Kluyveromyces lactis: one gene and its partners. Each later gene encodes a partner of the first gene's protein in a complex. Links are inferred from orthologs where the notes say so. Each region holds a gene or a part of one and is shown in the gene's direction. Other genes may lie near its edges. The genes, in order: NUP159, NUP133, NDC1, NIC96, POM34, NUP1 and NUP120.

What was found.
Region 2: NUP159 (region 1) and NUP133 share a complex: the UniProt entries of both Saccharomyces cerevisiae proteins name them as parts of the nuclear pore complex. The link is inferred for Kluyveromyces lactis from reciprocal best matches to the Saccharomyces cerevisiae genes NUP159 and NUP133.
Region 3: NUP159 (region 1) and NDC1 share a complex: the UniProt entries of both Saccharomyces cerevisiae proteins name them as parts of the nuclear pore complex. The link is inferred for Kluyveromyces lactis from reciprocal best matches to the Saccharomyces cerevisiae genes NUP159 and NDC1.
Region 4: NUP159 (region 1) and NIC96 share a complex: the UniProt entries of both Saccharomyces cerevisiae proteins name them as parts of the nuclear pore complex. The link is inferred for Kluyveromyces lactis from reciprocal best matches to the Saccharomyces cerevisiae genes NUP159 and NIC96.
Region 5: NUP159 (region 1) and POM34 share a complex: the UniProt entries of both Saccharomyces cerevisiae proteins name them as parts of the nuclear pore complex. The link is inferred for Kluyveromyces lactis from reciprocal best matches to the Saccharomyces cerevisiae genes NUP159 and POM34.
Region 6: NUP159 (region 1) and NUP1 share a complex: the UniProt entries of both Saccharomyces cerevisiae proteins name them as parts of the nuclear pore complex. The link is inferred for Kluyveromyces lactis from reciprocal best matches to the Saccharomyces cerevisiae genes NUP159 and NUP1.
Region 7: NUP159 (region 1) and NUP120 share a complex: the UniProt entries of both Saccharomyces cerevisiae proteins name them as parts of the nuclear pore complex. The link is inferred for Kluyveromyces lactis from reciprocal best matches to the Saccharomyces cerevisiae genes NUP159 and NUP120.

The regions. Positions count from the first base shown.
Region 1 is NC_006042.1:327,824-330,781, reverse strand, and holds the end of NUP159 (FG-nucleoporin NUP159), read left to right. Parts: coding exon 1-1,952; downstream 1,953-2,958. Other genes in the region: HIS5 (histidinol-phosphate transaminase), read right to left, coding at 2,021-2,958. UniProt on the Saccharomyces cerevisiae protein: Functions as a component of the nuclear pore complex (NPC).
Region 2 is NC_006037.1:702,405-707,378, reverse strand, and holds NUP133 (Nup133p), read left to right. Parts: upstream 1-1,525; coding exon 1,526-4,846; downstream 4,847-4,974. Other genes in the region: rRNA-binding ribosome biosynthesis protein RPF2, read right to left, coding at 56-1,090; DAD2 (Dad2p), read right to left, coding at 4,935-4,974. UniProt on the Saccharomyces cerevisiae protein: Functions as a component of the nuclear pore complex (NPC).
Region 3 is NC_006038.1:138,691-143,072, reverse strand, and holds NDC1 (Ndc1p), read left to right. Parts: upstream 1-1,568; coding exon 1,569-3,389; downstream 3,390-4,382. Other genes in the region: recombinase RAD52, read right to left, coding at 1-660; bifunctional K:H/Na:H antiporter NHX1, read right to left, coding at 4,058-4,382. UniProt on the Saccharomyces cerevisiae protein: Functions as a component of the nuclear pore complex (NPC) and the spindle pole body (SPB), probably by playing a key role in de novo assembly and insertion of both structures in the nuclear envelope.
Region 4 is NC_006041.1:1,253,402-1,258,491, reverse strand, and holds NIC96 (linker nucleoporin NIC96), read left to right. Parts: upstream 1-1,696; coding exon 1,697-4,279; downstream 4,280-5,090. Other genes in the region: PDH1 (putative 2-methylcitrate dehydratase), read left to right, coding at 1-1,188; type 1 protein phosphatase-activating protein YPI1, read right to left, coding at 4,527-4,994. UniProt on the Saccharomyces cerevisiae protein: Functions as a component of the nuclear pore complex (NPC).
Region 5 is NC_006042.1:1,441,935-1,445,782, forward strand, and holds POM34 (Pom34p), read left to right. Parts: upstream 1-1,620; coding exon 1,621-2,808; downstream 2,809-3,848. Other genes in the region: PSR1 (phosphatase), read right to left, coding at 1-870; MEU1 (S-methyl-5-thioadenosine phosphorylase), read right to left, coding at 2,954-3,848. UniProt on the Saccharomyces cerevisiae protein: Functions as a component of the nuclear pore complex (NPC).
Region 6 is NC_006039.1:1,147,760-1,152,784, forward strand, and holds NUP1 (FG-nucleoporin NUP1), read left to right. Parts: upstream 1-1,951; coding exon 1,952-4,675; downstream 4,676-5,025. Other genes in the region: alpha-1,2-mannosyltransferase KTR1, read right to left, coding at 1-606. UniProt on the Saccharomyces cerevisiae protein: Functions as a component of the nuclear pore complex (NPC).
Region 7 is NC_006039.1:1,079,972-1,085,062, forward strand, and holds NUP120 (Nup120p), read left to right. Parts: upstream 1-2,016; coding exon 2,017-5,046; downstream 5,047-5,091. Other genes in the region: FAR8 (Far8p), read left to right, coding at 1-1,632; TAP42 (Tap42p), read right to left, coding at 5,073-5,091. UniProt on the Saccharomyces cerevisiae protein: Functions as a component of the nuclear pore complex (NPC).

The DNA.
Region 1 (2,958 bases):
AAGACGATATCGAATCTAACATTGTATCCTCTACCGATGAAAGTGATTCCTTATACGGAGAGGACAGGGAAATATATGATAATGATAGATCTGATATACACATCGAAGCCTCTTCAAAACCTTCTTCAACTGTTTTGAACTCAAACAGTGACATAGAAGAGGATGAAGCTGAGCAAAGCAACGAAGAACAAGCAAAAGTGGAGACCAAAGATGGGCAAGAAGAAGAAGAAGAAGAAGAAGAAGAAGAAGAAGAAGAAGAAGAAGAAGAAGAAGAAGAAGAAGAAGAAGAAGAAGAAGGAGAAGAAGAAGAAGAAAAGGAGGAGGGAGAGGAAGAGGAGAAGGAGCAGCAAGCGCAAGATGAAGAACAAGTGAAAGATGATACTAAAGATGTATCAAAGGAGAAAAAGCAAGAAGAAGACAAAGGAAATGATAAGCAGGTCAAAGGTGATCTGCTCACTGAAGGATCTTTCCCATCGGCGGAGAGCACAACCCCTGTTGCTGCGTCTTACGTTACTGAGGAAGATGACACCAGATCGTCTGTTGCTTCTTTTACCGATAGGATAAAGAAAGCGGCTAACCTCTCAACGGAGAATATTGCCAATCCATTCATGAAATCCACAGCAGTTGAAAACAAAGATTCCTCACCTTTTTCGGGCTTCACAAATTCCTTATCCAAAGATACAGGAAAGGCTCCCGCATTTTCCTTTGCCAATCTCAAGAAGGATGGTTCTGAAATTACCTCACCACTGTCTAATGTCAATTCTATTAGCAACGAAAGTGTTATGAGAGAGCCAGAACCAGAATTAAAACAGAAAACTGGTGATGAGCCGGACCCCGAAGTGGCAACTCCCTCTACTAACCTCGCAAGTTCAGAACAGAAAAAGGAAGCACTTTCAAAGGATCAAGAAATTGTACCATCTTCAACTGTCAGTCCAGAATCTGGTAGCGTCTCTTCTTCACCAGTTGTGGTAGATTATCCTCCAGTCAAAATGAGTAAATCATCCGGTACTACTACAAAAGAATATGTTTCACAGCATGTGCAAGCGAGTGTACCTGTAGGAAGCGCTTCCACTCAAAGTCTTACTAAAGAAAGTGCAGACTTTACTTTACAAGCCTTTGAAAATGATGAGCAATATATAGCTGAAAGGTATCTTCCTGAAATGCCTAGTGCTTTCTATTCCACTGCTGAACTTAAAGAATTCAGTACAATATCTTCCGATGAAGTTGTACAGGCCGTTGAAAAAACAAATGCTCAAGTTTTAGCAAACATTCAAGTGTTACGCTCAAATATCGACAACATTGGGAAGTTTATAGGTGACCATTCCCAAAATTTATTCAAACGTACTGAGAAAACTGTCCCAATTGTCTCCTCCTGGAGACTTGGTGAGGCGGCCACTCTTTTGGATATCCTTACTTCCAAGGCTAAACAAAGCTACGAATTGAAACAGTCTTACCAAAGGTTAGCAGATAGTTCTTCTGCGGTAACTAATTTCGACATGCTAATCACGACACTAAAACGCCAATATGACATTCTTGAACTCTCCAACAGGACATCTAATCATTCCAACAGGAAACTTTCTTGGAGTCAGCATCATATCTCAACTATGGTAAAGAGGAAACTTGAAGAAGTCTCCTCGAAACTGGATGAAATTAGAGAATCCATTCAAGTACTAAAGCTTTACAATCTTACAAATACCAAGGAAGCACTGCATGCTGTGCAGCAATTGTCATTAAACGGAGGCATTGGCAGAGAAAACTTGTTAACAGAGATTCAGTCGTTAAGAGAAGAAATTTCTGTGTTAAAATTGTCGGCAGAAAAACCAAACCAACTAGAACCTGAGAATCTATTAATTAACACAGCTTCTACATCGTTGCCCCTTCTCGAAACTACTTTGGAGTTATATACAAGGGCTCAATTAGGAGATTTTTTCTCATCTAAACTGTCTACGTAATGTGTAGAACGAAATGGTCCAGTTGAATACGCTAAATAATTGCTTGCATCCACCTTTTCAAACCTTAATTAAGCCATTATTAAAGCAAGATGTTTCCTGAACTCTTTAATTAGAACATCATTTTCTTGCTTAGTACCAATGGTGATTCTTAAACCACCTGCGCAGCCAGGCTCATTACCTCTATATCTTGTTATAACAGCTGATTCAACGGCAAGCCTTTCATATAGCTTCTTAGTCAAAGCGTTGTCTCCATTGTTGATGTTTAATAAGATGAAATTAGCGTCTAGGCCACCCAATTGGGAAACATATGGAGAAGAAGTCAACTCCTTCAACACTCTCAATTTTTCCTTTTTAACTGTGGCAGCATTCTCTTCCATCAATTTCAAGTTTTTTGGTTGTACTGCTTTCAAAGCAACTTCTGCAGTCGAGCAAGAAATATTATAAGGAGCCTTCATCGAATTCAAGACTCTTGACATAGCTTTAGATGTATACGTAACTCCTAGTCTGATTCCAGCTAGGCCAAATGACTTAGAAAGAGTTTGTAAAACAGCAATATTTTCGTACTTTGTTGCTAGCGGTGCCAAGGACCCCTTATCAGAACCCTCAACAAAATCGATGTATGCTTCATCTACAACAACAAGACCCGTTTGCCATTGTGATAGAATCTTTTCAATACGATTAACATCGATAAAGGTACCAGTTGGATTACCTGGTGAAGTAATGAACACCAACTTGATTGAGGGATCGTTTTGCAAAGTTTCTAAGATCTTTTCCTCATCGATTTGGAATTTGTCTTCTTCAGATAACAATAATGGTACCGTAACGTATTCAACATCGTTAACCTGAGAACAGATGGTATACATTCCATACGTAGCAGGTGCAATTAAGATTTTTTCCTTTGCTGGCACACAGCACGCTCTAATAAGGGCATCGATGCTTTCATCAGATCCAACTCCAAGACATAGGTTGTCAGCATCCAAAGGCTTCAAGTTCTGGTCTTTGAAAA
Region 2 (4,974 bases), on another chromosome or scaffold:
GATTAGATATGTATATGAATTATATTATACAGTCAGTTTTTATTGTCAATGGAATTTATTTCTTTTGCTTCTTAGCAGGTGGAGCATCGATATCTGTTGCCGTTACGAATTCTTCACCGTAAGTGTCATCGACATTTTCTTGATCAAGATCGCCTTCAACTTCTTCTAGGTACTCTTCCATATCCGAATCCACTTGATCGTATTTAGCCTTCAAACCCTTCATCTTTCTAGTTTGCAATTGACCCAAATCTTGCTTACCCACATGCACTCTACCGATCTTATCACCCATAGTATCGATCTCAACGTTCTTAGCAACTCTGACTTCCAATTGTCTAGGTTTCTTATGGGCTTCCTTGACCATTTCTGGAGATGGAGTGTGAATTCTTCCGATCTTGAAATCGAATCTTGGACCAATCTCTTCCAATTCCACTCTAGGTAACTTCTTACCACCTTGTTCGGACTTGTAAGTCTTCAAGTGATACACTCTGAATAGAACATTTGGTAATGGTTCACCGTCTTGGAAATCACCTTGGACAGTGATAGAAATGATATGTTGCAAACCTGCAACATCTTGCAAAGTGGTATTCTGACCTCTGAAAAAGTCAAGGAACAATGATTTGATATGCTGGTAAACTGGATGTTGTTCAAAGGCTGCACCTTGGAAACTGAACATTGGCTTTAACCCAACGTTAAAAGTTTGTTTTCTGAAATCAGACAAAAGTTTATAGTTTTCTGCAATCTGCAACTCGATAATATCATAGATCTTATACCCAAACGTACGAATAAAAGTCAAATTGTTTCTTCTCTTCTTAGAATGTGTGCTCAACACCATAAGCGATGTATCATTCTTTTCAGATAAAAACTCTAATGGTTCATAATCTTCAAAAGGTCTGATGTTGTTCTTCTTGGAGAATCTCTTGATATCAGGCTTCTTCAACGCACTCAAATCAACCATTGAATCATGCAACAACTTGGTAGAAGTTTGACCAGGAATGAATAAAGCTTGCTTTACATTCTCAACCAATTTTGCTTCTTTTTTATCCAAAGCCCTTTTAGCACGGGCATTCTTAGGCTTTACTGTTCTGATCATCCTGGTGTTTACGGTGTCTTGATACAAATCACAACAATTACACCTTATAGGATAGAAATCTGAGCCAAAAGATGAACTATGTAGACTGTAACTTAGCTCATCGCATTTAGCTCATCGCATCGATTTGTTCCAGTTTAAAGATTTAATTTTCCAAGTTACTTGATAAGTGAAAAGAAACTATTCCAAAGTCACGTGGCGGAAAATGTTTCACGTGACATCACTTATGACGATTTCTTTGGCGACAATGAAAACAGAAACATTGACCAAGATTTTAAACAATGAGCATCAGAGAGTCTATTTACCTTTATAATTACAGCAATGCAAGGTCAAGCTAGGTTCGGCTAACAAGGTAGTGGATCAATTGAGATTAGAATTTCAAAGTTTTACATTTGGTGATTCTTTTGGCTTTTTTTTTCAGTGTCAAGATAGTACAAGATGAAGCAATTGTTTCAGCTCAGGAAAGAGCTTAGTGTACCAGCAGCAGCACCAGAGGATTCAGTAATCTCTGCTGAGGAAACGACAACTGGTTCTGCTGTCACCAATGTACAATTTTCGAATGAACAAGTTATCACAGAGAATGGGAAGTATAAGGTATCGAAGTTAGCGCCAAGTTTAAGTTTTTTGCCCAGTAATGTGGAATTATGTTGTAGCGTTGATGCAAAATCTGGGTACGCCTTATGCTGCGATACTGATAATGTTTACGTTTGGCCATTTTTATCTTCTGAAACACACCCTAGTTTTGTAAGGATTCCATTACATGACGAGGAATATGAATCATGGTCCCGTCCTCCATTATGTTGCTTTACGTGGCCTAGTGTGCTCGAACGTGACTTGAAATCAAGCCCTGGCTTATTTTTAGTGAACAGTAGATCCGGTGACATTCAATTCTATGAAGATGTTGATACTGTGAGTCAAGTGGCAAGTTTCTTGACGCAAACCAAACGTCATAAATCAGTTTTAAAACTACGTGACGGTGAATATGTAGAGAATTTGATTAATGCAGAACCAGCTGGAATATTACTTTCGACAAATTACGGGCGTGTTGAGTTTTGTACTATAAGAGATGCTAACGGGAAACCTTTTGTATCGCTAAAACAAACCATAATAAAATGTCAAGTCGGAATCTTTTCATCCATGTCCAAATCAAAGAGAGTGGTATCTCTCAAATTGGGCGAAATCAGCGGTAAAGGAGAAAGAATAGTTTCTATTTTAACCCAGGGCGGGCGATATCAGGTGTGGAACCTTTCATCTGTTGGGAATTGTTACAAAAAGATCGATTTAAATGTACAGTCTGAAATTTCACAGGCAGTCTTAGAGCATTTCCCCTTGGCAACATCTACACTGAAACTACTCGATTGTCATCCTTTATCAGGAGACTCGGATGCATACTTGTTCTTGAGTTTCTTAGCGGAAAGTAACGAAACGCACTATTTACTATCAACCATCATTGTGGATGAAGATACTAACAGTTTCGCTATCTTCTCTACTTACAGATTAAACACATACACGCGACCATTATCAGATGAATTTGCCCCAAGACTTATAGTCCCAACTGCATACACCAAGGAACATTTACCGATAACGTCTGTTTACACTTTATTCTCTGATGCTGCTGTCCTAACTCAAACAAGTTCCAAATTGGACTCTAATTATCCATTTAAAAGGAAATGGGAGGACATTATACGGTTTAACAAAGATATGAAAGTTCTTGGGTACGATTGTAATTCAAGTTCCTTATACATTACTGATGGAAGAACATGTGCGTTAAAGTTGGAGACTTTTGAAAAATACGAAAACTCTGACTTCCAAGAAATTAGATTCATAAAGTCTCATGTGGATCAATACGTCTATTTTGGAGGACAATCAACGGATTCATTACTAGACTTCAACTTACCTGACAATCTAGATCTACAACCACAAGAAATTGAAACAGATATTCAAATGTCCAGTGATGAGATTAAATATGCATTATCAAACCACATACCGCCTGTTGCTAACAACCCCATGAAACACTTAAAAATAAGAAGCGAACTTTTTGAAAGACTTCTCACATTTGTTGCTCATAATTTTTTGGATCAAACATCTTCCCAATTCAAACTGGACTTGATTTCTGATTTTGAAATGATAAAATGTTTGGAAAGCTTGTACTCTTTACTACCGCAACAACCAACATCTATTTCACAAGCTTGGAAGACAGTACTATCAGAAAGTTCCTATCAATCGGATTCTGATTTTATCTCAGACGGCATTGTTAAGATTCCAGAATTATTGGGCGCCTTTTTGAAGCATTTGAAAGACCTAATGAAATCCACAAATGAAACTATGTTAAAATCTCAGATCGCAAAGCTTATAAATCAACTAGTTTATCATTCCATATTAGAAGAATGTGAAAACAGCTACAGGTATGGACTTTTCCAGATGAGCCCAGATGATGTATCAAAAAATATCCCTTGGTTCACAACAAATAGCATAATAGAAAATCTTAATGACATCTTCTTCTTGTTAAGGCATGCCTCTGAAGATCTTGCCGTTGTGTCAGAATTTGTAGAGGAATTACTGCTATTGGTTAAGTCTCTATTTTATATGGTCAGGCAAATAACCATGTGGATTGATGCAAATGCCATTACTGATTCTAGTTATAAACAGTTTTTCGAAGAAAATCATTTACTTTGGAATAGGGTCCTTAGGGATGTTAACAGGTCTCAGGATTCAATTCTAATCACAGATTTTTACCAAGACTTTGAAGGCTTAGTTGAAACTTTGCAATCTCTGCCAAAAATTACCGCATTCTCTCTATACGATGAATTCTTCCAGAAATACGGATACGACTTTGCAAAATCCTTATTTTCCTACTATATCAAGGAAGGGCTATGGGATGATCTTTACGAATCGTTTGGTGAAACCCATTCAGAATATTTGGACCAGTTCTTAGGAGAATGTCCCGAGTATGGCAAAGTTAAATGGATTGGAAACATATATTGCCATAAATACGACGAAGCAACTACAACTTTGTTGAGTATTTCTACTGGAACTCAATCGCTGGGTCAAGATTTGAAACAAAGACAGGCACAATTGAGTATTGCCAAATTAACAGCTCTTGCCGCGGAAGTTCAAGATCTTGAAAAGCTAAACGAAATTCAAACCGAATTAGATCTCATCGATGGGCAAATTCTTCTATCCCAAGAACTACAAGAATCAACTCTCAACCCACTATTCAAAGACTTTACCACCTATCGAACTTTGTTCAAATATTTGAGCGATGCTGTGAAGAGGAGAGAATCTCTCTCAGTGCCGCATATGATAGAATTATTCACACTATTAAATCAAGATACTTCTTATGGATTTGCATTGAGTATCCTTGCCATTGATCACACGTTACCCACTGAAGTAAAAAAGTACTGCGAGTACCAGATCTGGAGAAGGTGTCTCTTATCCGATGAAAATGCGGTTAGACAAACTTTAAGGGTCTTTTTCAAGCAGCAGTTCTACCATCAAAGTATCGAACTTCCAATCATCGACAACTTGGCCAATGAGAAATTGATCACTGACTCATACCTGGATGGCATGTACCATGGACTAACCGATCTTAATAAATTAGCTAGCGACGTCAAACGAGAGGTTGCTCTTTTCGCTAATTCGAATTTGGACGTTACGATGTTACAATCCATCATTGGAGAAATCAACGAGGAAACCGGTAACCAATGTGTCATCAATTACGCAACTAACACAATCGAGACAAGTCCCACATCTTTCTAATTCAATAATAGAAGAAGGTGCCACACCAATTAATTGTACATAGTATAAAACCTGTTTATACACCATATGTATATATTCAATAAAAACGTTATTCAACGTCATCTGCAACTTTCACCCGTACCAAAGTT
Region 3 (4,382 bases), on another chromosome or scaffold:
TGTTGTATGATTATTTGACCGGTACGTTTGCTGTGCAGGTGCAGAAGGTACGGCATTTCTATCCTCATTTGTTAGGCTTCTTTTCTTCAAAGAAGGTCCCTCAGTATGCGCATCTCCAACCATATTTGATCTTGACATCTCACTTAATTCATCTGCAGGTCTGAAAAGGTTTCCCTCGTCAAAATCTGGGGGATCAAACTTCACTTTATCAATCTTAGCCAAGAAATCCTTATCATAAAGACAATTCCCAAGAGCGTTTCCGAACCCTCTTAACGATCTTTTCAACGCATCTGTCACTGCAGATTTCTTGGCACGCTCGAAAGCGCTGGCTTTCCTCCGTTCATTTTCCACGGTTCCATACCCAATATCCTCTCTGAACGTTCCATCGGCTAACGAAACACGAACAATAGCGGTGCATCCAATACTAAATCGACCTTGCCTTTCGTCAAGGAAATCTATAGTGACATTTTTAACCTCCGTAGACCATCCGTCATACCCAAAAATCTGGTTTGCTAGATTGATTGCTTTCCAGCCTTCGATATATGCTACTCTACTGGATCCAAATCCTACTCTCTTTGAAATATATTCTGGTCCTAGCTTCTTATCTAACTTCGTTTGAATGTCATCTTTACCATTCTTGCCACTTCCTGTATCCTCCATATCTAACAAACTGCAAAAAGGAAAATTGATGCGAGTCGCACTAATATACCAATCCACAAAATCTTCTACCAGTTAAAGACACAAGCAAGGTGGTATCCTGTCCAATTCAACAGCGCAAAATCGTTAACTGTTTGACCTAGTTTGTTTAAGTTTTAGTTTATCAATACAGTAAATTTGAAAAAAGTAAACAGAGCAGTAGCTTAAATCACGTAAACTTGAAAAAGATCTGTTTCTATCGGTATTAAAAGACGCGAGAGCCATGTAAATTGAAAGGAGTTTTGAAAGGATGGCAATGAAACTTAACATTATCATTATAGGATTGGCAGTACCTGTGCTGTCATAGAAGTACTTACATTGGTCATGAAAGTGGCGACGCAAATCATTCTAATATTTTCAGTACTCTATGAGTGACCTTGTATATATTTGTATATATCTTTTGGACAAGAATATCAACTTTTAAGCGTTAAAGTTGACACGAGACCATTGTTACAAGAAAGAGAAAGAGAATATGACACATATTTAGTTGATTTACTTATTTACATGTAACAACTGTTTACGATATCATCAGGTTCGCGTTTAGCGTCTATATGTTGAGACTGACCTCACTGACAAGGAGGTGATTGTCTTTAGTTTCGAGTTACCATGCAAATCAACTATGACATTGGCATAAGAGGGTTACCCGAATATCTAATTTTTTTATGACGCCTGATCTCTAGATCACAACCTGTTAAGAACTTAAAATGCTTGAGATGATATACAAATAAATAATATAAGTAACTCGGAAGGTAATTGATTGTCCTAAAGTCCAATTGACCTTTGTCTGTTTTAAGCATCTAAAATTACTCAGCTTATTGCTATACAGGCTGTACTTTTACCTGTGTTCATCTTTGATTGGTTTGTTTTCATTGATGTCTTACGTGCAGAGTTTAGGACCGGTTGCACCGCAACTGCGTGATTCTCGTTTTACTTACCATCGGATATTCAGTGGGGTATGCAAGAGCAGGTTTAATAATTTCGCCAGGGGTTTACTCTTCAAAACAGCGGTACTTGTCGGTTTAATTACAACCATTACGACACAATGGGAGTTGTCGAAATCTCAGAAATTACTGTTATGGCCAGTAAAAATATTATCTTTCTATGTTGCAATGTTGATGCTAATTATTACCAGGAAAAACTATCTTCATGTCAATTACCTTGGATATACGAGCTGGATAAGCGCATCATATGGCCAATTAGTCTCCCGTAAATGGATCACGTACCTTTTAGTTTACGTTGTGAGCGCATTCTTCCTTTCTTTGACATTTTCCTGTTGCTTTTTCACTCCAGGTACTGGTTCAAGAAAGCATTCACAGCATTACGAATTTTGTTGTCAGTTTATGGTACCTTTTTTGTATTCCATCCAACATGTACTTTTAGATCTTGACAGACTTACTTTCAACTACGGTGCTCAACATCAACATCCTCAGAAGTTTATGGCTTCAAGAATCCATGATTCATTTTTGAAGTGTCTTGTGTTAACTGCAATACTCTTTCTAATTACTCCAATTCTATTAAAGCTTTTATTCGGACATCTAGGCTCTGGTATATGGTCCCATATTAGGATTTGTTGTATATGCTTGTTAATCTTGCAAACATGGGACTTTACAAACATTGGCTTCGACGCCTTTCTATCAATTGGTTGCTTGCATAAAGGTAAACCAATCTCTTCGTTATCTCCAGCTTCAATGGAGACATTGATCACTGGGTTGAGATCAGAAAAATTATTTGTTAAACTTACTGCATTCCAAGAGCTGGCCTACAGAGCCACTTGTGCAAATGTGGAGTTGAGGCTCCCAATTTACCACAATACCTATAGAAATAGCTTGATCTGGCCCGGTATACTTAGAGAATGTATGATTGTTATTCAAGAAACCAACTATAACGTATCCGATTTCTTGCTTACATTGAAGAAAGAGATTGATCCCCAGCCTACAAAACCATCTTTCCCTATCAATAGATCGGTAGATCATTTATTCGGTACCAACCATACTGTCAGAAAACAAAATAATGATGAGGATTCCAGATTACCTGGTGCTCCTCCTACTGAACAAATAAATTCGGATCTACCATCAATGGCTTCACATAGAATCGTTTTAGAGGACAGCAATGTTTTCAAAAACAACGATACCCAAAGAAGTCCGAATCCTCCGAGATTTATCGACTCATACAAACAAGCAATTTTTACCAGACAACCTACAGTACTTTCTGTTTTGACTGATCTTTGGAATTGGATACAGAGAAGAATCAGTCAGTACTTTTTCACCATCGATTCAACTGATAACACGAACAAGAAGCTCTCATTGTTTGAACTTTACCATATATCAAAAGTAAGGGAAGCTGAGAAGTTGTGTCCTGTGCCAGTATGCTATGCCGAGTGTGTGTATTCGATGATGGGTTTTATAGTAAATTCTGTGGATGAAGATCCCAAAGGAGCTGTCGTATCTTCAGTCGGCGAAGTATTAAAAATTTTGGAAAGATCTATTGGCTCTTTAGGTTCGTTTACTGAATTAATATTGGATGGAAAACAAGAAAAGGATTTGAATGATGTCATAAGTGTGTTGTATGACTTATGTATCAATGCATTTTTGGAAATAGTTTTGAAGTATGACACTCTCCTTAACGATGTTTATTTGGACGAAGATGTCGTGAAGTTAACACAGTGGTTGCAAAAAATGTCACAAGATATTTAAACATAGCTTGGCATCAATTGGATTATTCCCAACAGAAGCATGTTACTCTAATAATATTCAAAAGTTATATTGCTTTCATTATAAAAGAGAAGAAATCTACCCCAAACTTCTGGTATGTTATAGGAAGATGTTACATGTACTGAACAAGCGAGCGGAGAATACTTGCTTCTTATTCCAGAAGTCGGAATTATTCATGAAATGTTTTTATTTTCCATTAACCTTCACTAGATCATAATGACCATTGAGGTTAGTATTTGAGTTACAGCAGAACTTTTGTTATAACAAACTTATTTTAGCATTACGTATGAATAAAATACAAACCAAAGCATACAAACGTTATCTTCATTTTTACAAAAAGGTCATTACGTATTTAAAAAGACTTTTTCCATCGGTTTATCAATTCATCGATCCGCACTAGCTTTTCGTGCACAATTAACGTTTCTCGCCAACCGTAAGTCTTATAAATTTAATAGCAACGTCTGTAGTATCTGCTCAAGAAGTGTTGTACTGGGATAACAACAAATGATAATGAGATGTACTACAATACGAAGAATTCGACTAAGTGCCTTACAATGCATGATCTATTTAGTGCTTGCCAGTTTTTTGTTCATAAAAGTATATACACATAAAGTCAACATATTATGCAGTTGTAAAATGTTAGAAATGAATCACAACGTCCGTCGAACTGACATGTCATTTGGGGAGTTTGATGATTTAGTATTTGTTTGAGAAGGTATTGCGGAATTATTGTCCAAAAATACTGGTTTTAGGACCTGCTCATCAAAGTTTGCAAACCATTGATCCTGCTGGAAAATTTTGTCAACGGAGCTTCTTATTTGAGCACCATCAAATGAGAACCTCGGGCCATTTAATTGTTGACTTGGAGTGTCTTCGGGCGATATTATACCTGCAGCGGCATTGACGCTTGTAGCCAACGGTGGGAAATCAGATCTGAAGTCTGTCGACAAGTTCAAACTGCTATTAGCTAAAGAG
Region 4 (5,090 bases), on another chromosome or scaffold:
ATTCGTTGGTTGGATTTCAATGATTGTTGGTTAGCTGCAGAGTGGGGACATCCCTCTGATAATTTAGGTGGTATTCTTGCCGTGGCAGATCATTTAACTAGATTGTCAAAGGCCACCGGAGGTGATGAGGGAAGATTATTCACCGTGAAAGATGTGTTAGAAGCTATGATCAAAGCACATGAGATTCAAGGTATTATTGCCTTGGAGAATTCCTTTAATAAGGTAGGATTGGACCACGTTGTTTTGGTCAAAGTTGCTACCACTGCTGTGGTTTCCAAGATGTTGGGTCTATCAGAAGCTCAGACCACAGAAGCTTTATCTCATGCTTTTGTAGATGGACAAGCTTTAAGAACTTATAGGCATGCTCCAAATACTGGTTCCAGGAAATCTTGGGCTGCCGGTGACGCAGTGGCAAGAGCTGTCAACATTGCATATTTGGTGAAGAATGGAAGTCCAGGTACAATTCCTTCCGTACTAACCGCTAAGACATGGGGTTTTTATGACGTTCTTTTCAAAGGTAAACCATTCACCTTCCAGCAAAGGGACACTTTCGGTTCTTATGTGATGGAAAACGTTCTTTTCAAGATATCGTTCCCAGCAGAATTCCATGCTCAAACGGCAGTGGAAGCAGCTATTAAGGTGAATAAACAGTTGGCAGAGTTGGGCAAAACTTACAAAGACATTAAAAAGGTCAGAATTAGAACTCAAGAAGCCGCTGTGAGAATTATTGACAAGGAGGGTCCATTGTACAATTATGCTGACAGAGATCATTGTATTCAATACATGACTGCTATTCCATTAATTTACGGTAGACTAACGGCTGACGATTACAGTGATGAAGTAGCAAGCAACCCTGAAATTGACGAATTGAGAGCTAAGATGTATTGTACTAAAGATGACCAATTCACTTTGGATTATCATGATCCATCAAAGAGATCAATCCCAAACGCTTTGTTAGTAGAATTGAATGATGGGACTGTCTTAGATGAAGTGGTCGTAGAATATCCAATCGGTCACAGACTAAGAAGAAAGGAAGGTGTCCCACTATTGATGCAGAAATTCTACCACCATTTGCGTGAACATTTCGCCGGCGATATTGAAAAGGTGGAAGCTTTAATGGAAGCAAGTACAGATGACGGTTTCTTAAACTTAACTGTTGATGAATATGTCAACATGTACTGCGATTAAGCTTTGTCCTTCGCACAGCATCATCAACGTATAACGACCACAATCAATTTTTCATTTCATTCAACTCTTTTTTTGAACTAAACGAAGTAAAACCTACATTTCAATGGTAACCAAAACAACATTTTCTATTCTACAAAAACTGACCACAGGAATCAAAAGATTCTGGCAATCATCAATTCCAGATTACAATATATAATTAACTTATTTTCTCTTGAGTTAATACATACATACTTATGTTTTAATATTAATTACTGTCATGATCAATTTCTGGCTGTCCATTTTTTTGTCCCGTCACATGTTCGGGTAACGGTGCAAAACATTGTAGTTAAAAAAAATTAGACAGAAAACAATAAAAGAAAATGTAAACTATCAATACGTTGAATAGATGATGGAAATAATTCATTGAAGATACTTTGAAAATCAATACACATTGTTGCTATCCATCGCATCAAATTATCTTTAACCCGTTCAGATTTTGGAATTGTAAAATCCACACAATCGTGGAACTATGAATATCAACAGTCAAATCAGCAGTGATACAATGCTATCTGCATTTCAAAACGATGCAAAGACTAGTGGCTCCACGTCTAAGAGCTCATCGAAATTATTCAATGAGCTTTTAGAAACGTCAAAGAACTTACCTTCTACTTCATCTGACCTTGGAGCTATCTTATTGAGTGTCAATGAGATGAAAAAGAGGGCACAGGAGATGCGTAAGACAATTCCTCACGATTCCAATCATACAAAAGCTCATTATCTCTTAGCAGGAAGTGGACTTGAATTTCACGAAATTGAGAGTTCCTTGAAGAATCTTAAGTCATCAGAGTTGTTAACCGAACAACGGGTTGCACAAGGCTATAACGATGGTGATTTGGACACTTATTTACATATTAAGAAGGATGAGAATATCCTTTCCTCCATTGAACAATCATTGTCTTTAGCAGCGAAGGATTTTGATAATTTCATTAATCAGAACTTCAACCTAGATTGGAAGCAAAGGAAAGATGAAGTAAGAGAAAGCTTTGGGATCCTAGTCAAGAAACGTCAGGATAGTTCTAACTACGATACGACTAATTTGGCTCCTTTGGATCCCAACGGTCCAATATTTTGGGGGAAACCACCTGGTAGTGGTATCTTGGATGGTGATTTAAATTCAAATGTCAATGGAAATCACATCCTTAGAGAAAAGTTTGAGAAATATGCCAAAATTATTTACAGGTTTAACAATTCAAGACAATCACATAATGACGATTTTCAATTAACCAAAGAGTTCATTGCCATCTTTCAGAATACGACCGACTCGAAGTATAGACAGCTACTTGACGGTTGGGAGATTATAGATAATGCAACAAATCAATCCCCAAATATTGTTGAGTTTTCCAAAAAATACCTAGAAAACCAGTTCTTGAGCTATGTTGACAATTTGTATTCAAAGAATCCAAGCGAAGGTTTACCGACCAATGTTAACAAAATTAGAGCATTTATTGACCTCAAACTGAAGACTGGTGAAAATACTTGGAAATTTAACAATCTTACGATTGTGAATGGAATTCCCGTATGGGCCTTGATTTTTTATTTGCTAAGGGCTGGTTTACCGCAGGACGCGCTAGAAGTAGTTGTTAACAACAAATTGAGTTTCAAAAAAGTGGAGCAATCTTTCCTAACATACTTCAAAGCTTATGTAACGTCTCCTGATCATCGTCTTCCACAGGAATTTGTCTCAAGGTTGCATACAGAATATAACCAGCATATCAAAAACACTTTGGACAGCGATCCGTTCCGTTTGGCGGTCTACAAAATTATTGGCAGATGTGATTTGACAAGGAAGAATATCTCTTCTATTACTCTAAGCGTGGAAGATTGGTTATGGATTCACTTGATGTTAATCAAAGATGATATGGATATGGATGATCCAGTATATGAAAGGTATACCCTCAGCGATTTCCAACATACTGTTGTCTCTTACGGTGAGTACATGTTTAAAAACTATTATCTACAGGCCCTTTTGTTAAGCGGACAATATGAACTAGCAGTACAGTACTCATACAAAATAAATGAAATCGATGCTGTTCACTTGGCAATTGGTCTAGCGGCAAATGGCATGTTACATGTGTCATCTTATAAAAAGGATGAGTTGATCTCCGTGAATGATGGCCAAACAAGGATAAACTTTGTTAAGGTATTAGGAAATTACACAAAGTCGTTCAAGTACTCTGATCCAAGAATAGCTGTCGAATATCTAATTCTCATCGCACTAGTGAATGAGAAAGAGCAGATTGAATGGGCGTATGAGGCACTCAGGGAATTGATCTTGGAAACTAAAGAGTTCACCATACTTCTCGGAAAGATCAACTCTGAAGGAATTAGGATCCCCGGTGTAGTTGAAGAAAGACGCCCATTATTACAGCTTGAGGACCAGAAGGACTTTTTGTATAAGATTACCGAACAGGCTGCTCGTAGGGCTGATGAAGAAAGAAGAATTCATGATAGTTTGTTGTTGTACCAGTTATCAGAAGAATATGACATTGTTATGTCCATTATCAACAAGTTATTGGGAGAACTTCTAAGTAGCACTGACCTCAATCAATCCCTCTTTAGGTTGAATGACAACAGCGAAACGAATTACGTCTTAATGGCAAAGAAGTTAATCGAAGTGTACATCAACAACATCGAAATCTCTAAAAAGGTTCAGGCAAGAAACAAAGAAACATGTATTGTCTTGTTGAAACTAGCTGATATAAGAGCATCATTCCTAGCACGCCAATGGCAAAACACCCTACAACAGATTGAAGATCTCGATTTAATTCCGTTCACGGATGAAAGCTCGACCAGAAAAAGAGCACAAGAATTTACACATTTGGATGAGAATATATTAAAGAACATACCTAACCTGTTGATAATTACAATGCTATGCATTTCTAACATCATAAAGCAGTTGAACGAAAGTGATTACCAATCTTTGACTAAAAAGCAGCAAATCGATTCTCTCAAACGTGTTGCTAAAAATTGTATGATTTATGCTGGTATGATTCAATACAAAATGCCAAGAGAAACTTACAGCATATTAATCAATATAGAAGTTGGTTTGTAGCAGAGCTCTCATTTATGAGCACCTGAGTTATGTCAGAACCCAGACGTCCTACCATAATAGCATACAATAAAATAACCATGTGTAAGTCGATTGTTATTCGATATAATTGCCTGATAGATTATATATGCATATGTATATATATACATTTGAACTGCCAATTACCTTTTCAGCAGTGCATTGTTGTAGTGAGTAGAAGATGCAACGAAATGTACAAGAAGTGAAAGAGTATGCTGATCAAATTCCTAAATCATTGAGCGTCTTTTCTGTTCTTATCTCTATAAGCGCTGTAATCTGGCTGGACTTCGTATGCATTCGGACTTGGTGGACGTTTTTGCTCAAGCTTTTTTCTCCGCCTTTCGAGTCTTGCCTTTCTTCTTTCGTCAAAGCTTTTTCCCTCATCCTCGTCTGAAGAAGACGAAGATGATGAAGACGATGAATCATGTCCATGATTATGATCGTGCTCGCACTCTCCTTCCTCTTCTTCATCACTCTCTAATGGGGTATTAGGATGGAAAATGCAACAAATCTTAGTTTTCTTCTTGTTCATGTTCTCATTATCTATTACTTTCTCATCCCATCTTACTTTAGACTTGGTGTCCTTCTTCTTAGTTTTGTTTTTCTCATTCTGGCCAGCACGCAATTGAAGCAGCTGCGGAACCTCCGTAACAGTGACGGTATGCGTTCCTTCAGGAAGAGCAGAAGGTCCTTCACTCATATGTTAGGAAATATTTCAAAGTTTAATTATGATGATGGATCAAACTGATAAAAAAAGCGTGACGATAGGTAAAGTTTTCCTGTCTAAGTCTTGATA
Region 5 (3,848 bases), about 1.1 Mb from region 1:
GTCGACACCAGGCCTTTTTATCACGTACACATTGTGAACTTGGTTATCGATTTCCACAGGAATAACAAAATCAGCAGTACGTAGATATTTGAAAGAGGAATGGACCAACGTTTCATCCAGGTCTAAGACTAGACATTTCTTACCCTTAAACATATCGGCCTTCGGCAACAACAAGGTATTGCACCCCGGTGCATGGGCCTGATCTGGCTGCAATTGAGACAAATCCAAAGGTTCCCCATCTTCGGGCTCCCCATTTGTCATTTCTACATCGCTAACGCCTTGACTATGAATGCCCTCGGAGTCATCCGCACTACTGGTATGTTCAGTCTCGTGAATCGTGGTCGTGACCTCTGCAGTTGGCTGAGTTGCAGACACTGCGGTGTCTGCAGTTGTGCCAGTACTTGTATCAGATTCAGCGTTATATACCAACAGTGTTTGCTTTTCATCCCCTTTTACATCCACATCGTCATCTTCCTCTCCAACCATGTCAACGTCAACGACATCACTATCAGTATCGTTATTACTAACAGCAGCCGTATTCTTCGACAGCGGACTCTTCTCAACAGGCGCACTTGCAACAGCCGCTACAGTTGAGCTATGCTTGTTCGCCGCATTTTTCTTTTTCAGATGCATCTTGGCTGTAGAATTGGATAACGTAGTATGAATTTCTGATTGTCTTGAATGAGTCGCAGCAACCCCTGGACGTCCACTCTTCTTTGCACTTAGCGTATTCTTGCTCTTACTTTTCTCCGAGCTTGACCCACTAGAACCTTTATTACTATTGTTACTTGACGATGAATTCCTACCCTTCTGTTTCCTAGAGCTATCCGAATCGCTTGAACCACACAATAAAGATGCAATGAATCCCATCACTTTTATTCCTAACAAAATCAACAGCGACCTATAAATAAATCGAGACACTGAGCGAGTGAGAGAAACCAAAAATCACACACTGAGCCCAAAAAAAATGGATAACCGATATTAATCAGATTGGTTTTTCAAACGGATTGATACTGTTATTAATATATGTTCTTTCTTTCTATCTAAGCAAAGAAAGATAGCAAACAAAAAAAACCTAAATACACAAACCAATCAGGCTCCCTGAAACCACTGGCCCCTTGATATAGTACCCGTACACTGACAAATCCCGGTACTTTTCAAGACTTTACTGCCCTTCTGTAAATGGCCTCCAAAAAAAATTAAGTTGCAGTTAAAATAAGAGAGTTAGTCAATGACCAATGTTCTATTCTCAAAATTGTTTAATCTGCAAAAGTTGACTGTTTCTGGTTTTTCCATGCTGAACAGAACATCAAAACTTAAAGAACGAACCAAACGAAGCAAAAAGAATTTTTTCTTTTCCCTGGCACAAGATGGTGCGGGTAACGAGATGTTTTTCACTTGAAAGAGATAGAGGCCGGCTTGAAGATTCACTTCTTAGTTTAACTACTAAAAACACAGCTAGTTCTTCAATGTTAATAAATAAGAATCGTTCAGTTTTTACCTGGATACGGTAAGTTTCATATCCTGATATTAGTGGTGTTTTTACTGTGGTAATTGATCGAGAGTTTACCCCGTAAATACAGGGATCAAGATATATAAAGGAAAAAGGTGAGAGTAGCAATGGATAATGGAATTTCTGCGCCTGGCACACCGGCCAAGACTTTTCAGACTCCCAATAGGCCTTTGAGCCAGCAGCAATTTCAATCCTTAAGGGAAAAAGCTATCAAACAGTCGCCTGCATTGTATAAACACAAGGTATTGAGTGATCCTACCAGCAAGACTGATGTTTCCAAGTCAGATTCTTCCTCTGTGTTTGCTGCATCTGCGTTCTCTGGCAGATTTGACGCGAAACCTTCAGCATCAACTAATACACATACCGCATCCCCTGTTTTTCGAGGAAAAAGTAACCAGGCATATTCTACACAGCAAGATACCGCACCAGTGACAAATTCTGATCTGCTACCGGACGAACCGGTGGGACAGAAACAACAAACGGATTTGAACTTTTCCGAAGATTCCGCATATGATAAATTGACTGATTTCGAAAACCCGGCGTTGGCTGCTTTCACATCTCGTATGGTTAATAAAGAGTTGGAGATGAGAAGGTTGTTGACTAATGTAGTGTTGGCAATGATTTGGAATCTCATATACAAATTCGTGTCATTATTCTTCCAATTCACTAAAAGGGGATCCCAACTTCGAGACGAACTGTATCTTTTCGTATTGAAAAACGTTGTTTATAAGATTAACCCACATGCCAACATCAATTCATTTTGGTTCCAAATGCTTTCTTGGCAATTTGCAACCAGTATATTCCATACTATTGTCATTTTTAACATTGCATCGTGTCTTTGGAACTTGCTGATAAAAGCACAAAATACGGACATATCAGATTTGCATCTAACCGAGAATCAAAAACGCTTGTTAGGGGTTGTGGAAAGCACCCCCGACTATGGTAGATCCTTTGATCCTTCAATTAATATAGGTAACTCTAAAGTGAAATCCTTAAATGAAGCAGAATCAAAATCCAGCCACAAGCCTTTCATATTCAAATCTTTACAGACTCCAATGAAAATGCGTGAGTTGAATACCCTTCAGCAAGCAGAAGTGAAAAAAAATCATGTATCTTTCTCTTTACAACCGAAGAAAGTAAACGCCTTTGGTGTCGATCACATAACAAATGTCTCCAATACTCCTACAACTTTATTCACATCGACACGCTCACAGCCAGACACTCGTCCCGGATATATTCCAAGCAACCGGTATACTTATATGATGGACTCACCAAGTGCGATGAAGAAGCGCTGAAAAGCATGCGTACTTCGGAGAACGATTCTTTTTCTTCTTCTTTTGGTTTCGAACCTCTGATAGCAGTTATGATAAGAATGTTATTACTTACATGGCTACCTACCGCGTATAGTTTATAAAGTTTATAGAAGAGAAATTTACAGCGTTACCAATGGTTTGGGAATAGAAACTTTAGCTTGGCCAAGGCATCTTGAGACATGGCTTCAGGTTTTGTTGAAATGGAGTACTTCATGGCATCCTTTAGACCATCACCGTTGTTCATAAATTCAGGAAGTTGCTTTGCCATTTCTAAAATGACCCGGGATGCCAAATGGTTAGCATTTTTGGCATTGTTCTGTAAATTACGGATAACAGTTTGTACAGACACTGGTTCTTCTTCGTCTCTCCATGCATCATAATCGGTAGACATACAAACCATCTGGTATAGAATTTCACATTCACGAGCCAATTTCGCTTCAGGGATCACACTCATGTTGATGACATCTCCACCCATCAGACGGTACATCTTAGATTCAGCCCTGGTCGAAAATTGGGGACCTTCCATACAGACAACGGTTAGTTCTCTATTGTAGTGCAACAGGCAAGGTTCTTCAGACTCTGGGTTTTCCAGAATATCTTTGAATTGATAAATATACTCAGCAAATGACTTGGAGAATGGTTCACCGAACACAACATGCCCAACTAGGCCTTCATCGTTGAAGTAAGAGGACTCTCTGATCCCCTTGGTTCTATCGATGATTTGTTGAGGCAACACGAAGTCTCTTGGTTTAATTTCCTGTTGTAAAGAACCGACAGCACTGAAGGACAAAATAGCACTGGTTTTCAAGTTCTTCAAGGCAGCAATGTTAGCTCTGAATGGAACCCTTGTTGGTGGGTACTCATGATTCACACCGTGTCTAGCAATAAAGGCCACATGGAAATGCTCAGTTTCATCTGATTTTACACGAGACACCGTGATTGGAGAAGAAGTCTTACCCCAAGGTGTTTCCATACACGGAAGAATGGCAATTGGTTCCAAACAATCCAAAGTGTACAAACCA
Region 6 (5,025 bases), on another chromosome or scaffold:
CATCAATTTGTGTCTATAGAAGAATCCTGATTCATAACGACACATATGTCTGTATGATTCCGAATGACCATAGATAATCTTCTTGGCTTTCATATCAGCTCTGACTTGAGCAGCCTTTTCCTGGTCGATCCAGCTTGGATAGGACCAGTGTTCGACAGGGATTAGGCCAAACTTGACGTTACCACTAATCATAGAAGCAACTGTATTCTTGAAGTCATCTGTGAACTCTTCATCGTTCAAAAACACCCAATCGTATTGGAACTTCTTGTTGAATCTATCTTCAACAGACCTAATAGATGACAATAATTCTGTCAAATCACCGTTACGTGCCAAAGTCACAAAAGTTGCCTTAACCTTGGAGCCAGTGTACTTACCGGAATCGACGGTGGTGTACTTCAACCCTGTGTTTGGGTCTACAACAACACGGGAATCACCCTTCATGCGAACGGTCTCGTACTGATTTGCATTCTGCGAAGATGACACACCAGTGCTGTATCCACCATTGTATGAAGCACCTTGGAACAACAAATAGATGGTAATTGCAGCAACGATAATTATCCCAAGGAGACGCGCAGAACGCTCCTTATTGATTCTGGTCTCGCTCATGGCTTATTGAAAGATTACTGAACAGCTTTCTCCCAACCTATTTCCAATTGAAATAAAGAAAAATAGCGGATTTGTTAAGAAGAAATCAACAACGACCAATGTGGTTTCAGGATATTCACGTCAAACGATCAAATAACTTAGTAAAGCACCTAAGGAAACAAAAAACGATACCGAGTTGTTAAAGGTAAAATGCCTTCGTTTGTAATTTTTCAGTTTTCTTCAATTGAACAGTGGATATACGCTATTCTAATATCACATTTTTCTCGAGGCAACCCAGATTCGATCAGGGAATATTGAAAACTACAAAAAAAAAAAAAAAACTATATGATACCATTAGCAGAGCTCAGCCATAAAAATAGCACATTTATGACATTTATGACATTTATCGATCTCCCACTTCATGACTCGTAGTCGAAGGCATCGTGCGATGTTCCACTGCCCATTTTCTTCTAGTGTAATGATTCTTTTCTTTTCGGATTTAGACTTATGTGTTCGTTTCAGTCTTCTGTCCCTTCAAGGTGTTTTTTGGGATTTTCCTTGACCGATATGGCCTCTTCGTTTCGGAATCAAGCGGTCTGTTCTGTGGTGTCGAAGCCTCATAACCACATTCGGTGTTGCACTTTTTACTTGATTTCCTCCATGACGCGTTCTTCAAGGTTTCCCCAAACTAAAAAAAAAAAAACAAGATGGGACGAATGTATGACAGGATGGGGAGAAATCGGTCACGTGATAATCTGAATTTCACAAGAATAGAACACTTGTACTGTTAAGCATGGCATTGATGCACACTACGTTCTATCCTGTGCGTTCTTGCAGTTTAACGTTAAGTTTTTCTTTACTTATATATCAATTTGTTCTTTTCGATCCCTCATGTCACTTTCAGGCCTTATGTATAGAAAAATGAACAAAACTTGAGTTCTATATAAAACTTGAAAGCTAAAATAACGAAAAAGGGTACTTTTGTATTAAGTGGACGGCAAATCTTTAAACTTTCATAATGTAGAATCGTTATAATAAATTTTGGATAATAGTCGAGCCCCATATTGATGTTTTGGAACTAATGCAAATTTATGTCCATCTCCTAGCTAGACTCTCTTATACTGACGCCTTGGTTAGTTTAGGTCAATATGTGTCAAACCGTACAAAGTGATTATAACCCTGTAAGAGGAAAAAAATAACAGCTAGGAATGTTAGGACTTGAAATATCGAATTATCAAATATCGAATAATACCTTTATTAATACGCAAGAAAGTTACAGAAACAGCAGTTTCGAAAGAAATAGGAATCGAAAACTTGAATTGGACTCTGGTTCACTTGCCGCATATCACGGCCACTTTATAGAATAATGTCGGCATCATATCTGGAAAAACCCAAAAGATCGATTTCATCGACTTTGGCATCATTATTTACCAAGCATGACGATACGAATAGCGAAGATCCGAATATAACAAGGTCGCACAATGAAGATATCAGTGATTCAGGATCAGTGGTCATCAAGAGGCAAAAACGTGGCTTCGACGGTTACGAGGAATTGGTTTGGAATAACGAAAAAATCACCGATCACCCGTTAAATCACAATGGCATTGATGATATCAATTATGATGAAAGACCGAATATTTTCTTGTATGAAGGGGATTCTGAACATGGTGTAAGGCCTCCAGTACTAACGATAGAACCGAAACAAAGATTGCGGCTACTAAGGATGCAGCAACTGCGCCGTGCTCGGCAATTCCCACTTTTACAAAGACAATTACAATCAGCAGAGAACGGCCTATATCGCTTAACAGACGGCAAAAATGCTACTATAAAGAATTTACTCGTCAACAAACTACAAAGTGACAAGAAAAATCATAGGGTTTCCGATAACCCAAAGTCCAAGAAGTGGAAAGCTGATTTTCAATACGATTTATCAGAATATGATATCTTGAAAAACGACAAAAAGACGAAACCAGTATCTGCCTCAATGGGGAATTTGGAATCTCCTAAACTACCACATCCATTGCTAAAAAGGAGTACCTCTTCAAAGAAACATGTCAATACTTTTGATCAAACAGGAGTGCCTAGTGGATCTGGCTTAACTGATGTTCAAAGCAGGTTATTACAAGGAAAGACATTGCAAAAAAATCCAAAGATAGCACAAGAAGTAGTTGCACCAACACTATCATTGAAACCTATCGTCAAGGAAAAAATATCAGAAGATAAAGTTTTAAACGCTAACGGCCCAAGTGTTGGATTTGACTTTATGAATAGAGACAGTACTTCTATTTTCCCAGGTAGCACAGATACACCTACCAAACCAACAGTATCCAAAAATATATCTTTTGGAAATACCAAATTGGATTTATTCAACAATGATAAACAGAAATTAACGGCCCCTTCTCAGGATTCTGAAGAGTTACCAAGAAAAAAGAAAGAATTTAGTTCTACTGAGGACACTGTTAAACCATTTCCCTTCACAAGTTCTAAGTCGCTGGAAACATCAACTGAACCATCGAAACCTGCTTTTTCTTTTGATGCGGTAAAAAAAAACAACACAGCTACAGCCAATGGAGGCACAAAAATCTCAGATGGTGCTCCTTCTTTCACCTTTGGTGATTTATCAAAAACCAAGAAAGAGACCAAAAAAGCTGAAACATCCAAAAACCCCTTTGAGAAATCCGCCCCCGAACCTGTTGAAAATCTGGCTAAAGACGGCCTCCCTAAGTTCAGCTTCACTGGTGCGGATACAACTGGGATATCAAATATACCTACATTTAGTTTTGGAAAATCTTCAGAAGGCAAAGAGATAGCTAAACCCGCCCCTTCATTCAGTTTTGGCAGCCAAAAAGATGCAGGCGAACCAACTAATGTCAGTGAAATGTCAAAACCTATGTTTAGCTTCAACAAAGGAAAATCATCTACTCCAGATCTGACCCCATTGAGTACCTCTCAATCAACTAATACACCTAAACCACTATTTCAGTTTGGTTCCAGTGGTAGTACTGAACCTGCCGCAAAGAGACCAGATGGTACAAAAACTGAAGCACCAGTGCTGCCATCATTCAGCTTTGGTGGTAAACCTGTAGGAAATGATTCGTCAAAAAATATTGAGAAGGAAAAAGCTAAACCTTTCAGTTTTGGGCAAGCTTCGAATACATCAGCATTTTCTCTCAACCAACAGCCTTCAGCAGACAACGCGACAGAGAAGCAGGAAGCCAAAAATGCCGTCAGTACTGCTGTAAAACCTGCATTCTCCTTTGGTAGCACCCCAGCAGCCCTACCTTCTGATACAACCCCAAAAGAAGCTGCTGCACCATCATTTTCGTTCGGGACCACAAAGAAACCTGTTCAAGGTGATATGAGTTCGAAACCTGCATTCTCTTTTGGAAGTTCCTCTGCCATCCAGCAGCCCTCAATTGAAAAAGCTTCCAATGCAATTCCTTCGTTTGCAAGTCAGAACACCAGTGGCCAGCCTGTCAGCGGACTCAAATTTGATTTGACAGGGTTTAAAAATAATAATAGACAAACTACTCCGACTCCGTTTTCAGATTCATCAAATGTTGGATCTGCTCGTGGAAGCAACCCTCCTGTCCCATTCTCATTTGATAATGTCGTTCAACCTGGGAATAAGATAAGTGTAACGCAGCCTACTCAAACTACATTTACTTTTGCACAACAAAATCAAAAACCATTTACTTTTACTGGAAGTGGGCCAAGCACTACCAACAGTTCACCTGCATTTGGAACCAGTTCCAATCAGCCTAATGTACCTTTTTCATTCGGCGGAAGCTCAGCTTCTTCCACTCCCCAGGTACCAGCATTGGGTACCGGTTTCGGTAATTCTATGCAGACAAACACATTTAATCCTTCAGCCGCTGCCAATTTTAATTTTGGTGGTCAACCATCTCAAAGTCCTTCTGTAGTATTTGGATCCCAAACCCCGCAACAGAATCCATCGTCCATATTTTCCGCTGGTCAGCAGAATCCAGCGGACATATTCAATGCGCAGGCTTCAACTCCTCAAGGAGGGGCACCATTTCCACCGCAGCGCAAAATTGCTATGCCCGGTAGGAGAAGAAGAAGAGGCTAATAAAGGAAAACAAAGGCTTTGCATCTCAATTGTAACAATTATTGCATGATATCATTCCTTCCGACATCTTTACATTTATGTGTAAGAATGTATCTACTAATGTCATCTTAAAGTTTAGGTAAAAAATTTTGTTTCGAGAGAGTACTCGAATGGAGCTTCGTTAACGGATGAGATGCTCGTAAAATCTTTAAGTGGAACTACATCAACTTATAAATCAAGTCTAACATACTCAATAGCAAGAAATTGAGTGATTTCGCTTGTGGTATCCAAATTGAACCGGCTATTACTTGAAACATAGGCATTTCTGGAAAGTATTGATCAAATTTAGTTACATTGAAACTGCTATGCGT
Region 7 (5,091 bases), on another chromosome or scaffold:
GGTGTAATGCACTATTTGCAGACAGAATATACTAAGAATGAAAGGGACAGGATCAATTGGGAGTTGGAAAGATGTGAAATGAAATCGAGAATCGCCCAATTGGAAGGTGAGAATAGAGATTTGAAATCTGGATTGGTTAAATTGCAGAACCAATTGAAAGATTCTGGCTGTTCGTCATCGGGGAACCTAAACGAAAACGATGAGACCGGAAAATCCTTGCCGCTAGAATCATGGGAGCAAGAGGAAGAACTGTTACATTCAAAACTATCGGTGCAAGAAAACATTAAAGAAATAGTGTACCTTTTGAAAAGCCCGCCAGTAACAGATCAGTTGGAATCATTGAATGATAAAGATGATTCGGTGAAAAAATTAGAATCCTTGAATTTGTTTAATGTCAACAACTCTAGCATTCTCAAGAATGGTACTGATAATAGAACCGAAGTTAAAAACGAACATAAAATAAGTAATTCGCAAGTTGACGACGGGGATCTTATCATCAATGATAAAGAGGCCAATAGTACCAGCAGTGATGTCCCAAATATCACTCTAAACAGGGATTGGAAAGATGTCATAAATTCACCCCCAGGAGATGACGTTTCTGATGCCGAAACTGTAATAAACACAAGGCGATCAAGATCATCGTCCTTGTTCTCAACACAATCCAATGAGATGCTCAAATTCCATACTTATCGTTTCTTACAGTATCATTTATCTTCAATTAGCAAATTGAAGCTTCTCGGAAACAACATGCTATCTTTTGGCTCAGATGGTTTACTAAAGCACTGGCTCATTGAACCTAGTTTGAACTCTAATGAAAAGGCAACCAAGGCGTTTCACTGTGTGCCTAACCTCTTGGGTATTTTTTGGTTGAATAAAACAAGGTTTATGACTGTGGATGAAACTTCCGTCAAGTTGTGGAACGTAAGCCAGAGCGACCCTGTCATATCTTGGGATGGCCTCAAGGATTTAGAAGGCTTACAATCTGTAGATTTCAAAAATAAATGGCTAATTTTGACTTTCGTTAACGAGATACGGGTCTGGGAAATTAAAATCGATGACTCCAGTATCGTTAAGGTTAATGAATTCGTCATTTCAGTCCCCAATAAGATTCTCAATTGTTTGTTGGGATTAACGGAAAAATCGCTTATAATATTAAATGGTAGTTCAAAACAAAACGTAAAGATTTCTATCTTCGACTTTCAAGGCTCCCTTTTACAACAAATCGATCTTTCTCATTCGCTGACCCAATTCCATCACACAAATAATGAATTAGCATTGAACAGGTCGACATCAAAATTGCTTGTGAGATTCGATACAGAAACTCTGATTTACTCTTTCGATCAGAAGAAGACCATTTTAGTGTCTTCTACCGCAGAATCTGCTATTTCCTCGATTTTCCTCAATGATTTGGAGTACACTGTCACCGCTTTGAAGGATGGTTCAATACTCGTGAAGTCAATCAAAGAAGATGGTAAAGTAATTAGAAAATACAATCATTATGAACACCCTGAGAAGGTTCCCGCTGAAGTGCAACCAATTGCCATTGCATCCACAGTCATAGATGATACCCCTGTAATCGTTTCTGGTGGCTATAACGGTGTGATACGACTAGAAAAAATTATGAGCTTATGAACGCAATGCTATAGTAATCAAAGCTGCCGCTATAATTCAAAGAGAAATATAGGAAAATAATCTATAATGCTCATGTAAAACAGTACAAGACGAACGTCATCGTCTATAGACATGGTATCCCCAGAGTACCTATATAATCCTCCTCACAACATGGAAATTATTGCCCAAGCGACCTTAAAATTCAGTTATAAGTTACCCGGATAATATTGTTTTCATGGTTACAACAACAATGAGAAAAGACATGTTGAAATCAATCTGACATGAAGTGGAATCGGTAAACAGAAGAGAACAGCCACCAGAGAACTTCAATTACAGGCTAAATCGGAACATAAACCTACAACATTACTATTGAACAGCTGAGAGGTAAAGCTGAAACTGCGAAAAATGACCAGCTTTTCTCGTCTGAATACAAATTTACTACAATTAAAATCGAAGCACTCATCAGACAATGCCCAACATTTATACGTCAATGGGAATGTTGGATCATCTACAGAAGAAATAACTTCCGTAGAGTACAGCAAACTGTTGCAACTAAAATTAATTGATGAATCGTTGTCCTTCCAATGGTGTAATAATTACACTGTTTTGAGTATTTACTCCATGAAGGAAACTTTTGCAAGGAAAACCATATATATCCACTTTCCAAAACCTCTTCTGAACAAATGGTTTACTGCAGTCGTATACGAATCTAGTGAAACGACCTCCAACCTATGTTTTGATGTGATTTTAAAGGATGGAATTTTCATCAACCTTTCATTGCCTATCGATTTTATTCTATCGAGAACTCGTCAAAATGAGTATCCTGAGAATTGGTTGAAGGTTTTAAACCCGTATGATTTCTCAGTACGTCCTCCACAGTGTCTATTTCATGTTGATAACACCTTCAGTGTAGTATTTCTAAAAGATGGTGGTCTTTTGGGGTTAAAACGTATTCCGCTCGAAATATTAAACGATTTTGAATTGCAACCTGTCCTATTCAATGATAGTTCATACTTTCAAAGTTTTACAAGAATGTTTTCAAAGTACGATAACCACAACTCTGCAGTGGTATCTGCAGAACTTTTGAATGACAAGTATCTTGTCACATTAACGAATGATGCAACCATTAAAATCTGGGATTTAACCACATATCAACTAAATGCGCATTTCGATCTAAAAGAGAAAAACCAGCAGGTGAATTATGGAGCTGCCGGAAAATACATGATAATTTGTGGATCTCTCCTGTTTGTATACCTACCTGCAGGTAATGGATCGTTCCAAGTCATTCAATTAGAAAATACGCATTCTTCAAGAATCTCCTTCAAACCATTAAACGTTAATATACCTCTCAATCTTTCATCTTATTCAATATGGTCTTTAATTGACATTCAATTAGTAAAATCCTCAATTGTCAAACAATCGGGACTCAACTTGGTTTTATTATGGAAAAGTAACACAGTGACCAAGCTACAACTACTCTCCTTCGAAGACTCTCTGTATAGTAGCTACAAATGGATTGATGGTAACAGCACATACCTCTCTGATTTGCTTGATGACTCAGACCTAATAACAAACGGAAATATGGAAAAGGCTCTCCTCAATCTCAAGTCACACTACTCACAATCAACGTACGATGACGCACAAAAGATACTGAATAAAAATAATGTCATGGTGCAGATAAATGATCCTCATAATCAAGATTATTTGAATAATCTAGAAGCTCTTTTGAAAGAACTTCATAAACAATATCAGGAGCCTTCAACTCTAACTATTCTTGATGATGAGATAATTGTTGTTAACAGCTTACACATGTATCATCATTCCACGTATAAGTTAGACTCACAACTTGAAACAATTTTCTTTAACATTTTTGAGAGAAAGGAACCCTCGTCTCAACTAGAGCTTTTCTTAAATATCCTGCATGGTTTTTCAACAACCATTACATCTGAAACGTTAAATAAGATATCTGAGAAGTTCTTAGACATGGTAAATGGTTCAATAAATCCCTCGTTATCATTGAAAAATAAAATTACCATTGTCTTTCAAGATTGTCTAACAAATGGTTTCCAAAGTGCTAATTTATCAAAATTGTTGGAAAATCTAAATTCTATTGATGTGGTGGAGGTTTTATCCGAATTTATACACTGTGATTTGAAAGTAGGTGCTTTTTCAGTTATTGATTTATTAGATACTGACATTTTCTTATCTGTTTTGTCTATGGAATCCTTGAAGCAGACACTCTCCATTATGGATAAGTTTATCATTGATATATTGTTAGTATTCACTATTGTGGATATCAACTATGAAGTTTTTGCAGAGAAGTTGTCTAAGTTAATTACCTTGCACTTCAATATCTCATTGTGGCTCCAAGTGTATCAAATAGATAAATTATTGGCAATTTCTGAGACCTTCGGTCATGTTACTAAATACAATTATGGTGCACAATTGAAATCTTACAGCGATATAACCGACTTTACTACATTAATGGTTGGTTTTGTCAAGAATTCTCCAACAGCTGAACCTCCAATATTTACAAGAGCCTTTTCCGATTTCATATTGAACGGCGAAGATTTGACTTGTGCAAAGCAATTCCTACACTTTGTTGCTAAGCCTTACCATGTGTCCAAGGATCCAGTAGAAGAACTACTATATGCTCTTTCTTTGTTCAAATGCAATGAATATGATGCATCTATTGAAATATTCTTGGCAAATGACTTCTCTGATGAGCTCTCACTACCTAAATATCTGGAGGTTACTGAAAATCACGTTTGGTACAATCTCCTTCATGCGATCAATACAAAAGATAAACCAGCATACTATTATGAACTTTCAGTTCTATGTTCCAAAGCTTCATCGTATGCTAATGCTTTAAAAACCATCAAAAAATCTATATCACTTGATGGTACAAGAGCAGATCAGTTGATACAATACTTAGATACATTGATAGTATTTGGCGATTATAAAGAAGTCCTGGATGTATTGAGGTTGGAACAAAAAGTCCTTGATATAAGCCTAAGAGAAAAATACTATTATACACTGCTGAGTGATCAAAAGTACAGTGAAATGTTCACTGCAACTTTACTCCAAGAATGCTACAATGCAAACATTTCCAACGGATCCATACTATTATGTGTGAGTGATTATAAAATTATAGCTTCAATTTTATCATCACAAGTTTCTCTCACTGATTGGAACAGCTATAAAAAGTTGTTCTCTTTCAGAATACTAAATCAACATGAAAGGAAAGCGTGCGAGGAACTATATGACTATGTACTCTTCGGATCGAACGACGAGGTTAAAGAAAAGTGCCTACTTCTAATATCCAATGTCTTAAAGACATTTTCAGATGCTAAGGACCAATGGTTCATCAGCTATCCAGGACAAATTATTCATTTACATGAATTGAATGACAAAATGAATAAGTGTTCAAAGTAGATAAACATATATATTGAAAGCTTTGTTTAACCTCTATTCATTGTA